Linked DNA regions of Oryzias latipes. The protein of the gene in region 1 purifies or fractionates together with the protein of each later gene. This does not show direct contact. Links are inferred from orthologs where the notes say so. Each region holds a gene or a part of one and is shown on either strand. Other genes may lie near its edges.

The links.
Region 2: the proteins of bud23 (region 1) and ube2o purify together in Homo sapiens (affinity purification with mass spectrometry; 5 studies listed by BioGRID and IntAct, counting the BioPlex papers as one, with this or other methods). This does not show direct contact. The link is inferred for Oryzias latipes from reciprocal best matches to the Homo sapiens genes BUD23 and UBE2O.
Region 3: the proteins of bud23 (region 1) and trmt112 purify together in Homo sapiens (affinity purification with mass spectrometry; 5 studies listed by BioGRID and IntAct, counting the BioPlex papers as one, with this or other methods). This does not show direct contact. The link is inferred for Oryzias latipes from reciprocal best matches to the Homo sapiens genes BUD23 and TRMT112.

What each region holds. Positions count from the first base shown.
Region 1 is NC_019871.2:13,769,374-13,771,842, forward strand, and holds the end of bud23 (probable 18S rRNA (guanine-N(7))-methyltransferase), read right to left. Parts: intron 1,873-2,469; coding exon 1,783-1,872; intron 1,668-1,782; coding exon 1,613-1,667; 3' UTR 528-1,612; downstream 1-527.
Region 2 is NC_019859.2:3,047,346-3,050,999, forward strand, and holds part of ube2o ((E3-independent) E2 ubiquitin-conjugating enzyme), read right to left. Parts: coding exon 3,548-3,654; intron 3,374-3,547; coding exon 3,237-3,373; intron 2,229-3,236; coding exon 2,025-2,228; intron 1,944-2,024; coding exon 1,886-1,943; intron 1,790-1,885; coding exon 1,009-1,789; coding exon of another isoform or gene 1,005-1,008; exon of another isoform or gene 754-1,004; coding exon 729-753; 3' UTR 1-728. UniProt on the Homo sapiens protein: E2/E3 hybrid ubiquitin-protein ligase that displays both E2 and E3 ligase activities and mediates monoubiquitination of target proteins. Negatively regulates TRAF6-mediated NF-kappa-B activation independently of its E2 activity.
Region 3 is NC_019868.2:11,958,321-11,962,291, reverse strand, and holds the end of trmt112 (multifunctional methyltransferase subunit TRM112-like protein), read left to right. Parts: intron 1-3; coding exon 4-96; intron 97-3,055; coding exon 3,056-3,157; 3' UTR 3,158-3,394; downstream 3,395-3,971. UniProt on the Homo sapiens protein: Acts as an activator of both rRNA/tRNA and protein methyltransferases. Together with methyltransferase BUD23, methylates the N(7) position of a guanine in 18S rRNA.

The DNA.
Region 1 (2,469 bases):
CCTCTTATTTTAACTTGCAAAAATGAAAATTATTTTTATCATCAAATATTTTCACAAGAAAACACGTAAACCTAATCATAAGAGTCATTGCAGGGTATTGTATATGTTTCCTTAATTCTCAATAGGAGAATGTTGCAAAAGAAAACAATACAGACCCAATAAACTGGTAAGGAGGGTCAGTTATGTCCTGTTAAGGTGTCAGAACGTTATAAGTCGCAGTAAGTGAGCGTATATTTTTAAAACTTCATTTTCCTCATGCAGTGGGACCTCCTGTGTGTGGCTACTGTCTTCGATACCAGTTCCTCACATCAGCATCAATCCAGATTTCCACTTTGGTTCTATTCCCATTTAGTTTTATTCATGTGTCCGTCAGTGTTGGGTAAATTACTTGATTACTTTACTTAAGTGGATGAAATTGTAATTAATTTACTCATTCCTCAATTTAAAATGTCACTACTCGTTACTTTACTTTTTTCCCACTCACATAAAATTATTAAGGAAATAAAGCACGCACAAACAAGATACCCTTGTAAAATCCACTAAATAAAACCCTAAAGGCTACACAAGGGTTTTATTTAGCACCACCTCGTTAACTTCAACACGAGCATGAAAAAATGTACATTGAATAGGAGCCTACATAGTGTATAGATATAGGTTGCTCATTGACACTAGGGCAATGGAAAGCATTTCATCTCCAGGACATAACTTGCAGTTAACTGAAAACATTTTTGCCTTTGTTTTTAACAAATTGGAAATGATTTAAAAATTTGTCGAATGCCTCTACGTCCACGTTCATATTTGTGATCTCTTTGTCTCACTTTTACCAATCGCCAACTCTGCATTAGCGCGCATGTGTGCCTATTTGCACTAGTAACTCTTAAGGGTATCCGTTTTGTTTCATTTACACAAAAGACAATATCTTAGCCAACTGTTTACACAAATTATTTGGTTTTATTAGTCATCCATGGCTTCACTGCACCAAAAAGTAAGTCATGGAGTATTGAGGGTTTCTGTAGTCTAGTAATTGTAATTTGGCTTCTAATTGTTTTAAGCCTATTGTACAAAAAGTGCTTTATAAATAAAGCACTTTTTGTACAAGTGCTTTATAAATAAAGTTTGATTTCATCGATGTCTGTGTGTTGTTTCAAAATCTATCAAACTTTTCTCTGTTCTGAATTGCAGCTGGTGACATTTGAGCTCTGCTTTTTCTTAGTGAAGAAATCAAGTGGGTCTCATCCTCAAGTAAGCAGTCAAAATATCTTCATCTTTTTTGGTTTATCAATTTAAAAGACAAAAATGGTTTGAGTCTATGAAACTAAAAGAAGAATTGAATATTTCATAATTATTATTATAAACCCTTTTGATTTCACAGCTCAGTTTTGACACGTACACCTGTTAAATCCAAACAGAGTTAAATCTCACCCAATTTGGGAGAAACAAATTGCCAATCACTTGAACAAATAAGAAGCTGATTGGCTATAACAGCATCTCATGTTTGCACCTCATCCACTTGACTCAACAGAGTAGAAAAGTGCAATCAGGCTCCAGCGTTGACCGTGCGTGTGCTGGTTCAGACCAGAGATGATGACGGCATGAGCTGCATGAGTCAGAGCTAGAAGTGAGGTCTCCGCTGACGACCGGTGTACTTTGTATCCGCTCGAACCTCCCTGCAGGTCCAACAACACAGAGCAGGCTGTCAGCCACATAAAGGTGGAGCTTTCACATGTTTCTGTTACACAAACATCTACCGTGTAAAGGTTCAAAATGCTCTACTGATCATACCTTCCCTGTCTTCTTCTTCTCTCCTTTTTCTCCAAGATCCAATCTCGTCCCTTCTTCACTGATTTTCCTTTCATATTTTTAAATCGACACCTTCACAAAAACAAAAATAAATAAATAAATTGCAGGCAGTTAGAATCCTTCACCTGTTACCAAACTGAACGCCTGAACCACAGAATGTGAAAGGGAGGAAAATCTGCCTGAGAGTTCTGAACTCAGTCAGAACAACGGCCCTTTTTCTATTCTTTTGGTCTGGCTTCATCAGAAACACGTACGACTGAACGTGCTTCGACTGACGCCCGGACCTGGGGGGTGTTTTTCGGAACGCATGCTTTACATCTGTCAGAAGAACAAAAAAAATCTGCATTCAGCTTCAGTTTTTGTCCAAGTCCAAGTTTAGGAAAAGCTCCTCTTCAACCTACATTTATAGATAGATATGGAAATCAGCCACACAAAAATATGTAGAAAAAACAAAAGTAGTGTTCCCTCATTTACCACGGGAGTTACATTCTAGAACAAACAACCTCGTGATAGGTGAAATCCTCAACATGGTATAGATGTTTTAAGGCTGTAAATCCCCTCAGTACACATATGCACTTTTTTCAGATATTTTCAAACTTTTATCTCTTGTTTAAACTCTAAAAGTTCAAACCTTCAAAGAAATATGAGTCCAGATAAAAATGAGCAAAA
Region 2 (3,654 bases), on another chromosome or scaffold:
CGAGTCATTTCTTCCAGTTCTGCGGGATGTTCGAATCGGAGCGAAGCTTTGGCGTTGCGCCGACGCCGCTGCCCCACATCCGGATACACGGGGTCGCAGCGAGAGCGGAGGAGGAGGAGGAGGATGATAGAAAGCACGACGCGAGCTCAAAGATCTGAGATCAAGAACAATTCAAGTAAGGCAACATGTTGACATGATGGAATGGATGCTGTGGTGGTGGTACAGTGATGAGGGCTCAGCTCCAGGTGATGCAAAGCTTCACTGTCAAAACCAGCACTGAAAACCTGAAACGGCCTAAAAGTCCCATGAAGAGACACCAGCCGCTTCCTGCGGAGCCGCCGTCAAAAGTCCCGCCCTCCTGAGGTGATCTGTAAACGTCAGTGCAAATGGAGAGTGGAAGAAGTGGCGGCGCCGCTGCGGTTGGCAATTTTACTCACATTCAGCCTGATCTCATTAGAAACTCTGTTTTCAGGCAGAAAAATACCAGCGGATTCATGAAAAAGAGTCCTCCTGGCCGCCCCGTCCAGCTGCCGGGGGAGCAGAAGGAACGTGGGCGGTGCTACAGATCGGCGTGGGACCCCTGCTCGCAGGGTGGAGGAGGCTGAAGCTTGCTCAGACATGGAGGGGGGAGGCTCATGGTACGGGATCTTCCAGTCACTCCAGAGCAGCTCCCGAAGCCCGTCTTGGTTCCGGCAGGTCCAAGTTGGAGGTCCAGCGACCCCCGTTTATCAGTCACAGTCGTCGGAGGGGTCACTGAAGGAGAAGAGAGGACGTTACCACCGAGCAGAGCGGCCGCCGTGCCGCCCAGAGGAATTATGGGAGGCAAAGGCAGCAGGAGCAGTGAGGACGAGAATAAAGATGGAAAGGGCACGAATGCGGGCAGCGCAGACCCCCCCGCCTCCGTCGCCACCCATGGATCCTCCCCCATGGCTTGAGGCAGATGAGAAGGCAGAAAAGAAGGAGCGAAGGAGTGCAGAAGTGTCGGGGGGAAGGCGGGGAGGCACTTACTTGTCCTCTGCGTTCTCGGGGAAGCCGGCGGCGGCCAGCGCAGCGCGGTACTGCAGCAGCACCCCCCGCACGCTCTTCACAAACCCCTTAGAGAGCGGGAAGAGCGGGAAGCCGATGTCGGGGTAACCGCTGCCCTCGGGGAGGAAACTCCGGTAGCTCTTCCTCCGTTTCTTTGGTCGCACCGTCGGCTGGCTTCCTGCAGACGCCACTCCCCCAGCGGGGCCCGAGCCCGCCTCCGAGGCGCCGCTCCGGACCGCCGCCTTGCTGTCCGCAGACAGGTAGCTGCTCCCCTGGGTGCTTTCGTAGTCCGAGGTGTGGCTGAGCTCCTGCTGAGCCGCGGGGCAGGAACTCTGCCACGAGTCCTCCAGCTCCTCCTCTATGATGCTGCTCACGCCGGCGCCAGACAGCGCCTCCCCCCCGAGCTTGCTGGGGCTGCTGTGGGCCACGGGGACGGACCCCGCGGGCAGCTGCTCCTCCACGGATGAAGCTCTGTCCCTAAAGTGGTGACTCCTGCAGGACGAGTGGCTCCTCTCCGCAGCCTCGTTCAGCTCAAGCCACGCCTCCAGGCGGTGCACCAGCCGCCAGCCGCTGGACACAAAGTGGTCCCGGATCTCCTGCCTGAAGACCTCCACGGGGTTCTGGAGGAGCTGCGTCATGGACTGAACCATCTTGATCAGAGCCATCTCGTTGTAGCAGCGGCTGTTCTCGTAGCCCTCCTGCAGACCTCGGTCGCTGTCGAAGCCGGCCTCGTTGTAGTACGGCTCGTTGACCAGAATGAGGCCTACGCACACGCACGCACACACACAAACACACACAAACACACACATGCATGAGACTCCAGAACGGCTCCAAAAGCAGAGTGTGGAGTGCGGCTAACCTTGTATGGAGATGAGGACCTGCAGCAGGCTGGACTTGCTGGTCCACCTCTCTGTGCCCTGAAACGCAGCACCCACAAAGCCGTCAGGGTGGGTTCAGAGGAGGAGCTACGAAGACCCCCCCTCCCCCCGCGCGCTCACCTTGCCGATCCAGGTGCCGAGCAGGCTGACGCAGACCTTGCCGTTGTCGTAGAGGTTGGGGTTGAGGCGCCCGCTGCACTGGGACAGGTACTGGAAAAGGGGCGGCACAGCGGGGTAGATGTTGGGCAGCTGGATGTCGAACAGGAAGACGCCGTCCTCGTACGGCGTCCGGGTCGGCCCTTTGATCAGAGCTGAAAACAGGTCCTGCACCGCGGAAAGAAATGAACCGAGCGACTGATTGTCATGGAAGATGTGCAAGTGGTTCTCCAGACTTAAAATAATCAAAAAGGTAAAAACAAGACGTCTAAATCTGAATCATGTTAACCCTTCAACACCTGAGCTTTAGCTCCAGCGTTAACGTGTTTTGAATGACCGTAGCTCTTCATCTGTTGACGCCATTGACGTTATTTCAACAGAATCTGAAAGAGTAAATGAGGATAATCCATCCATCCATCCATCCATCTTCCTCCGCTCATCTGGGTTGGGGTCATGGGGCAGCAGTCTAAACAAAGATGCCCAGACTTCCCTCTCCTCCCGAGGTGTTCCCTGTCAAGCAGGGAGACCTAGTCTACCAGCGTGTCCTGGGTCTTCCCGGGGCCTCCTCCCAGTGGGACATGCCCAGAACACCTCCCCAGGGAGGCATCCAGACCAGATGCCCAAGCCACCTCTCCTGCTCTCAGCCCCCCTACGGAGGACCTGGTTCTTTGGGTCATGACCCCAGAGCTCATGGCTATAGGTGAGAACTGGAACGAAGGGGAAATTCAGAGTTATGCTTTCTGGCTCAGCTCTCTCTTCCTCAACAACAGACTGACGCCAAACCATTCTGCCCGTCAATCTCATCTCTTCATGCTTGACCCCCCCACACACACACGGGGCAGGAACGCCCCACCCCCCCACAGAGGATAAACTAACTTTCTGCATTAAACTGGCCTCAGACTCGGCCACAGAATCCACTGGAATTACAGTAATAGCGGAAACGGCTAAATCTAGCTCGAATAGCGTGTCACTTCATGTCACCGACGACGTTTCCGGTGTTAAAGGGTTAAACCAGATTATTATACAAGTTATTTACATGCTGGAACATTAGAATCAAATCATTTTTCTAGCTAAAGACACACATCAGTTGCACCCAAACCATCACTCTCCCACCACTATGCCTGACAGTTAATATAAGGTTTTCTTTTGCGATACCAGAACGGTAAAGACGCCCACCATGCGGTCCTCAAAGGTTTTGACCATGATGCCGTCTGGCAGCGACGTCGCCAGCAGAGCCATTTCCTTCCTCACAGTGCTGAAAAACTTCTTCGCCTCCGCCGGCTGGAACTCCATCTTCTTGAAGGAGTGCGTTTCTGTTGGAGAAGAAAAATAACGATCAGGCAGATCCGGTTTTTGGTGGGAGAGTCCGACCTTACCAGAGAACCCACGGGCGGGTTTGACCAACTGTTTCATTCACTGAGATCAGAGCAGAATGAATAAACCCAGTTTATCTTCTCTGGTTTTGGTAAAAACCCTCAGCTGCTCACCTGGAGCCCACTCCAGCACTGAGAACACCTCCCCCTTGGCGCTGGTGAAGGTGACGCCCGGCTTCCCTCCGCTCTGCTGGCACAGCACAGGCGTGTCGCTGAGGAAC
Region 3 (3,971 bases), on another chromosome or scaffold:
TAGTTGGGTTATCGACAGGACCTGCCTGGTGAACTTATTGCAGATTACGAGCAAAATGAAGAGTTCCTGAAGAAAGTACACAGAGTGCTGTTGGAGGTATGTGACAGACTGCAGAGTCAGGGGGGTATTCCAGAAAGCAGGTTATGTGAGTTACCACGATAATTTTGAGGCTAAGGAAGTTGATAACCTCAGCTTTCGGTTCCAAAAATGGAGGTATGTTTCAGGGTCAAGTTGCCATAGCAACTCATGCGCTGAACATAGCCTGGTCTGGAGCAGGTTTAGTTGAAGGTTAGTTTGTTTTCAGAGAGGTGAAGCAGCATGCCGTGTCCATTTGAAGATGATTTAGATAATAATACTTTTTCCACCATGAGAGGGTGATAAGACCACATATGGATGTTGGAAATATAAACTTTTACTTTGATCTAACTTAATTATTTGCTTCAGCTAAGATAAATCATTTTTTGAGTTCAGTTCACTTAAAAATAACACATAGTTTTCAGACAGTTATGTTACTTTCATTCAAATTAATTCAATTAAGTAAGTGTAACTTTGGTGCTGCTGTTAGATCGGCACCGCAAGGAATTGTGGGAAACCATTCCCTTTGTCTGTCTGGACGGATTTAGGTTTAAGTGTGGGTTTTTGACCAAATGTGTTTAGTTGTTTAGCTGTTTTACTGTGTTTTGCCGAGTTATTTTATCCTCTTATGCGTGTTATGTTTAATTCTTTCTGCAACACGAGTGAGAGAGAGGGAGAGGATGATGAGGTTATGTAGCTTATTTAGCACAAGCAGTGCTGACTTGTGTCAAAACGTTAAGTTAAAGTCAGAGTCATGATAAATGATTAGATGTCGTAATTTTCAAGTCCACACTGTATCAATTATTTCAATGTTATAAAAATGAAAATATCTGCAGCCTCGAACTTAGACATATGAGAGTTCCAGAAGTACAAGAAATTAAGATGGAAAAACATTTAATTGAATTCGATTATTATGACATTTAGTTAGATAAATATGTAAATTTTATTTGTATATTTTAGTTTTATAAACAATTGTTGAGTTGGATAGACATAAATATATATATATTTCCCTTAAGAGCATTTTGCGTCACAATGAAAATAGAAATGAGATAGAAACTCGTGCATTTACTTTGTCCGTTCTTTTTCTCCAAGCAGAAACTTTCTTTTGCTGATGATGCAGCCGTGTTACTTTTTTGATGGTCTTATAATCTTCATACGCCGTCATTAAAATCTCAGACTCGGCCTCACTAAAGTACAGCGCTCTCTTTTGTGACTCCGGAAATCGGCGATCCATTGACAATGTCTTTATGTACTTGCCGTGCACGTGCATTAACCAAGTCGAGCGTAACTCATATTCGGTCTTTTGGAACCCACATACCCAGAGTACTGTAAGCAAGTTCAGGCGGATTTCAGCCAGAGTTCAGGGTTAAAGTCAGGGTAGTTTAAAAATGCTTTCTGGAATACCCCCTAGGAGTCTCTAAACCTGATCCCAGTGAGCTATTGCCCTGCTTGTTTCGCAGCTAACCCCTGCTTCAGTATTTGTGATTAGCTGGATTGAAGGAGCCCAGTTTCTGATTGACTGAACAAACCTGATCAGTCAGCAGTTATGCTGACTGTCCTCTACTTTTCCTTCTGCGCTGCAAAACTGTAAACACCGTCTGGTCTGAAGTCTAAGCAGCATCAAAGCCAGTAGTGACGATGAAAGAGGGTAATCTACTGCAGTGTATTTCAACCAGTGTGCCGTAGGAAATTGCCCTCATTAACTGATCTAAAAACATTTTTCATCTCCAGGAAATCAGCTCTTTTTTCATCCAAACAGGCCCTGATAAAACACTGAGTAGTTAGGAATATAAAAGATCTTAAAATTACTTTTTCTTTGTGTTTATTTAATTCTATTAAAGACATTTTGATAAGAATGACTGTACTGCGATTTACCTGCAGCTATGACAGTTTGCGGAAAAGTCCCGCCCATTTAACTGTCTCCGCCAATCATTCTTGAAGGCTTAATCACATGTCATCAGTCTGACCAATCAGAAGTGCTTAAAGTCTTCACTTCCTTGTTCTTAATTCTGCTGATAAAGTCGCTCAGTTCTAACAAAAGTACCAGCTAAAGCTCGTCTTTAGCGGTGTAGCTTTCCACAGAGTCCGGTGTCAGACCGTGGAACAAGTGAACAAAACAATGAAGCTCAGAGACACGAGTCTTTCTGCAATTTTTCGGCAGTTTTCACACTACATCTCCCATGATGCATTGGCTTAAAGGGCCAGTGTCCCAGCGCACAACGAGTTGTCCTTGTGAAACGTCTTGAAACCACAACAAACAAACAGTTTCTTAATTTTCTAATATAACTTTCATTTCATCTCTTAGAAAAAAACAGCCGCAACTTCCTGCTCTTCCGGCAAAAATGCACGTGAGATTGCGGGGGGGGGGGGCTCAAAAAAAGTGTGCCGTGGCTCAAAAAAGGTTGAAAAACACTGATCTACTGAACGTGTCTCACTTTCTCCCAGAGTTACCTGCTTTATGCTTTTGACAGATGAGCCTGCTTCATGCATGTCACATTAAACAAAACAACCTATTTAAAGTCCAACTCGGTTTATCTCTTAATCTATTTTAAAGCGTTCACAGTGTCCGTTTAATTATAATTGTGCCATTTTTCAGCAAAATTAATAAACCTGTAGTTTTCTAGAACATAGTTTCTGCAGAACGGCAGGAGTTCATTAGAAATTCACCACTTAAATTGTGTGTGTGTGTGGGGGGGGCTGTTGGTGCAGAGTAAGCCTACCCCCACTTCCTATTATCCATCTGTTTTTACACTTACACACTAGTTTACAGTCCCTCACAACCCAAACCTATAGTGAGCAATATTGACACTATCCAGCTTTGAGGCAGATTCCAGCTCAGACGAGGATAAAGAAGTACATGGATCTGTTCGTCTGCAAGTGGATGCTTCAGAATGGAGTATAGCAGGGAGCTTGTGGCCTACTGGTTGTAGTTTCTAAATTACAGCTACATTTTTCCTTTGTTCTCCGCTCCGCCTCACAGGTGGAGGTGATGGAGGGATGTCTAAAGTGTCCTGAATCAGGACGGGAGTTCCCGATCACCAAAGGAATCCCCAACATGCTGCTGAACGAGGATGATGCCTAAGATCTCTGTATCTGCAGACCAAACCTTTCCCCCCGTTAAGACTGTGTGCAGAGAAACAGACCACTCTGTTATTAGTTGATAGTGCTTTTAGCATTTCAAGTGTCAGATACCCAAAGAGATGCTGAAAAAACCCATCTGGAAATGTTTGAACAAAGTGAACCCTTTTTGATTTTATCTGTATTTATTTTTATAACTTGTTTTTCTTAATAAAACTGTCCAGATTTTCCTCACAGCTGCAATCTGTGGTGTTTTTTTTCCATTTAAAAAAAAAAAAAAAAAAAAGGAGCTGTTTGTGCTGCAGGCGAGCCAAAGAGGTGGGCTCTGAACTGAATCGGTCCTCTCTGAGCCTGATGACGTGGCTGCAGGCTGCCTGCATTTGGCTTTAAGCAGAAGGAGGCAGGCAGGGTGGAAGTTGTTTTGGAGGAAGTTTTTTTTTTTTTTTTTTTTTTCTTAAAGCCACACATTACAGCTTTTCTTTTCACCCAGTCTGGGTGGGATCCAGTGATTTGAGATGCACCATGGTGTGTCTGATTACTCTTAAGCTTGAGGACAGATTGTGGTTTGGTCCATGCTGATAAATTAAGTGTTTTCTCCACGTTCTGCAGCAGGGGTGGAACAAAAGTCTGTTTGCTTGCAGTTATCATTTTTAGAAACTCTGCCAGAACCAGTGATGAAAGGGGGTGGGAGGAGGGGGGTTTGACCAGAAGCCTGGAGGCAGCCTGAGTGTTTCCTACCTTTTCCTTCTACTTAGAGCAATTACAGGCCTGCACCCGCAGCTATAATAACGGTATAATGGTATGGCAGCAGAGCAGCA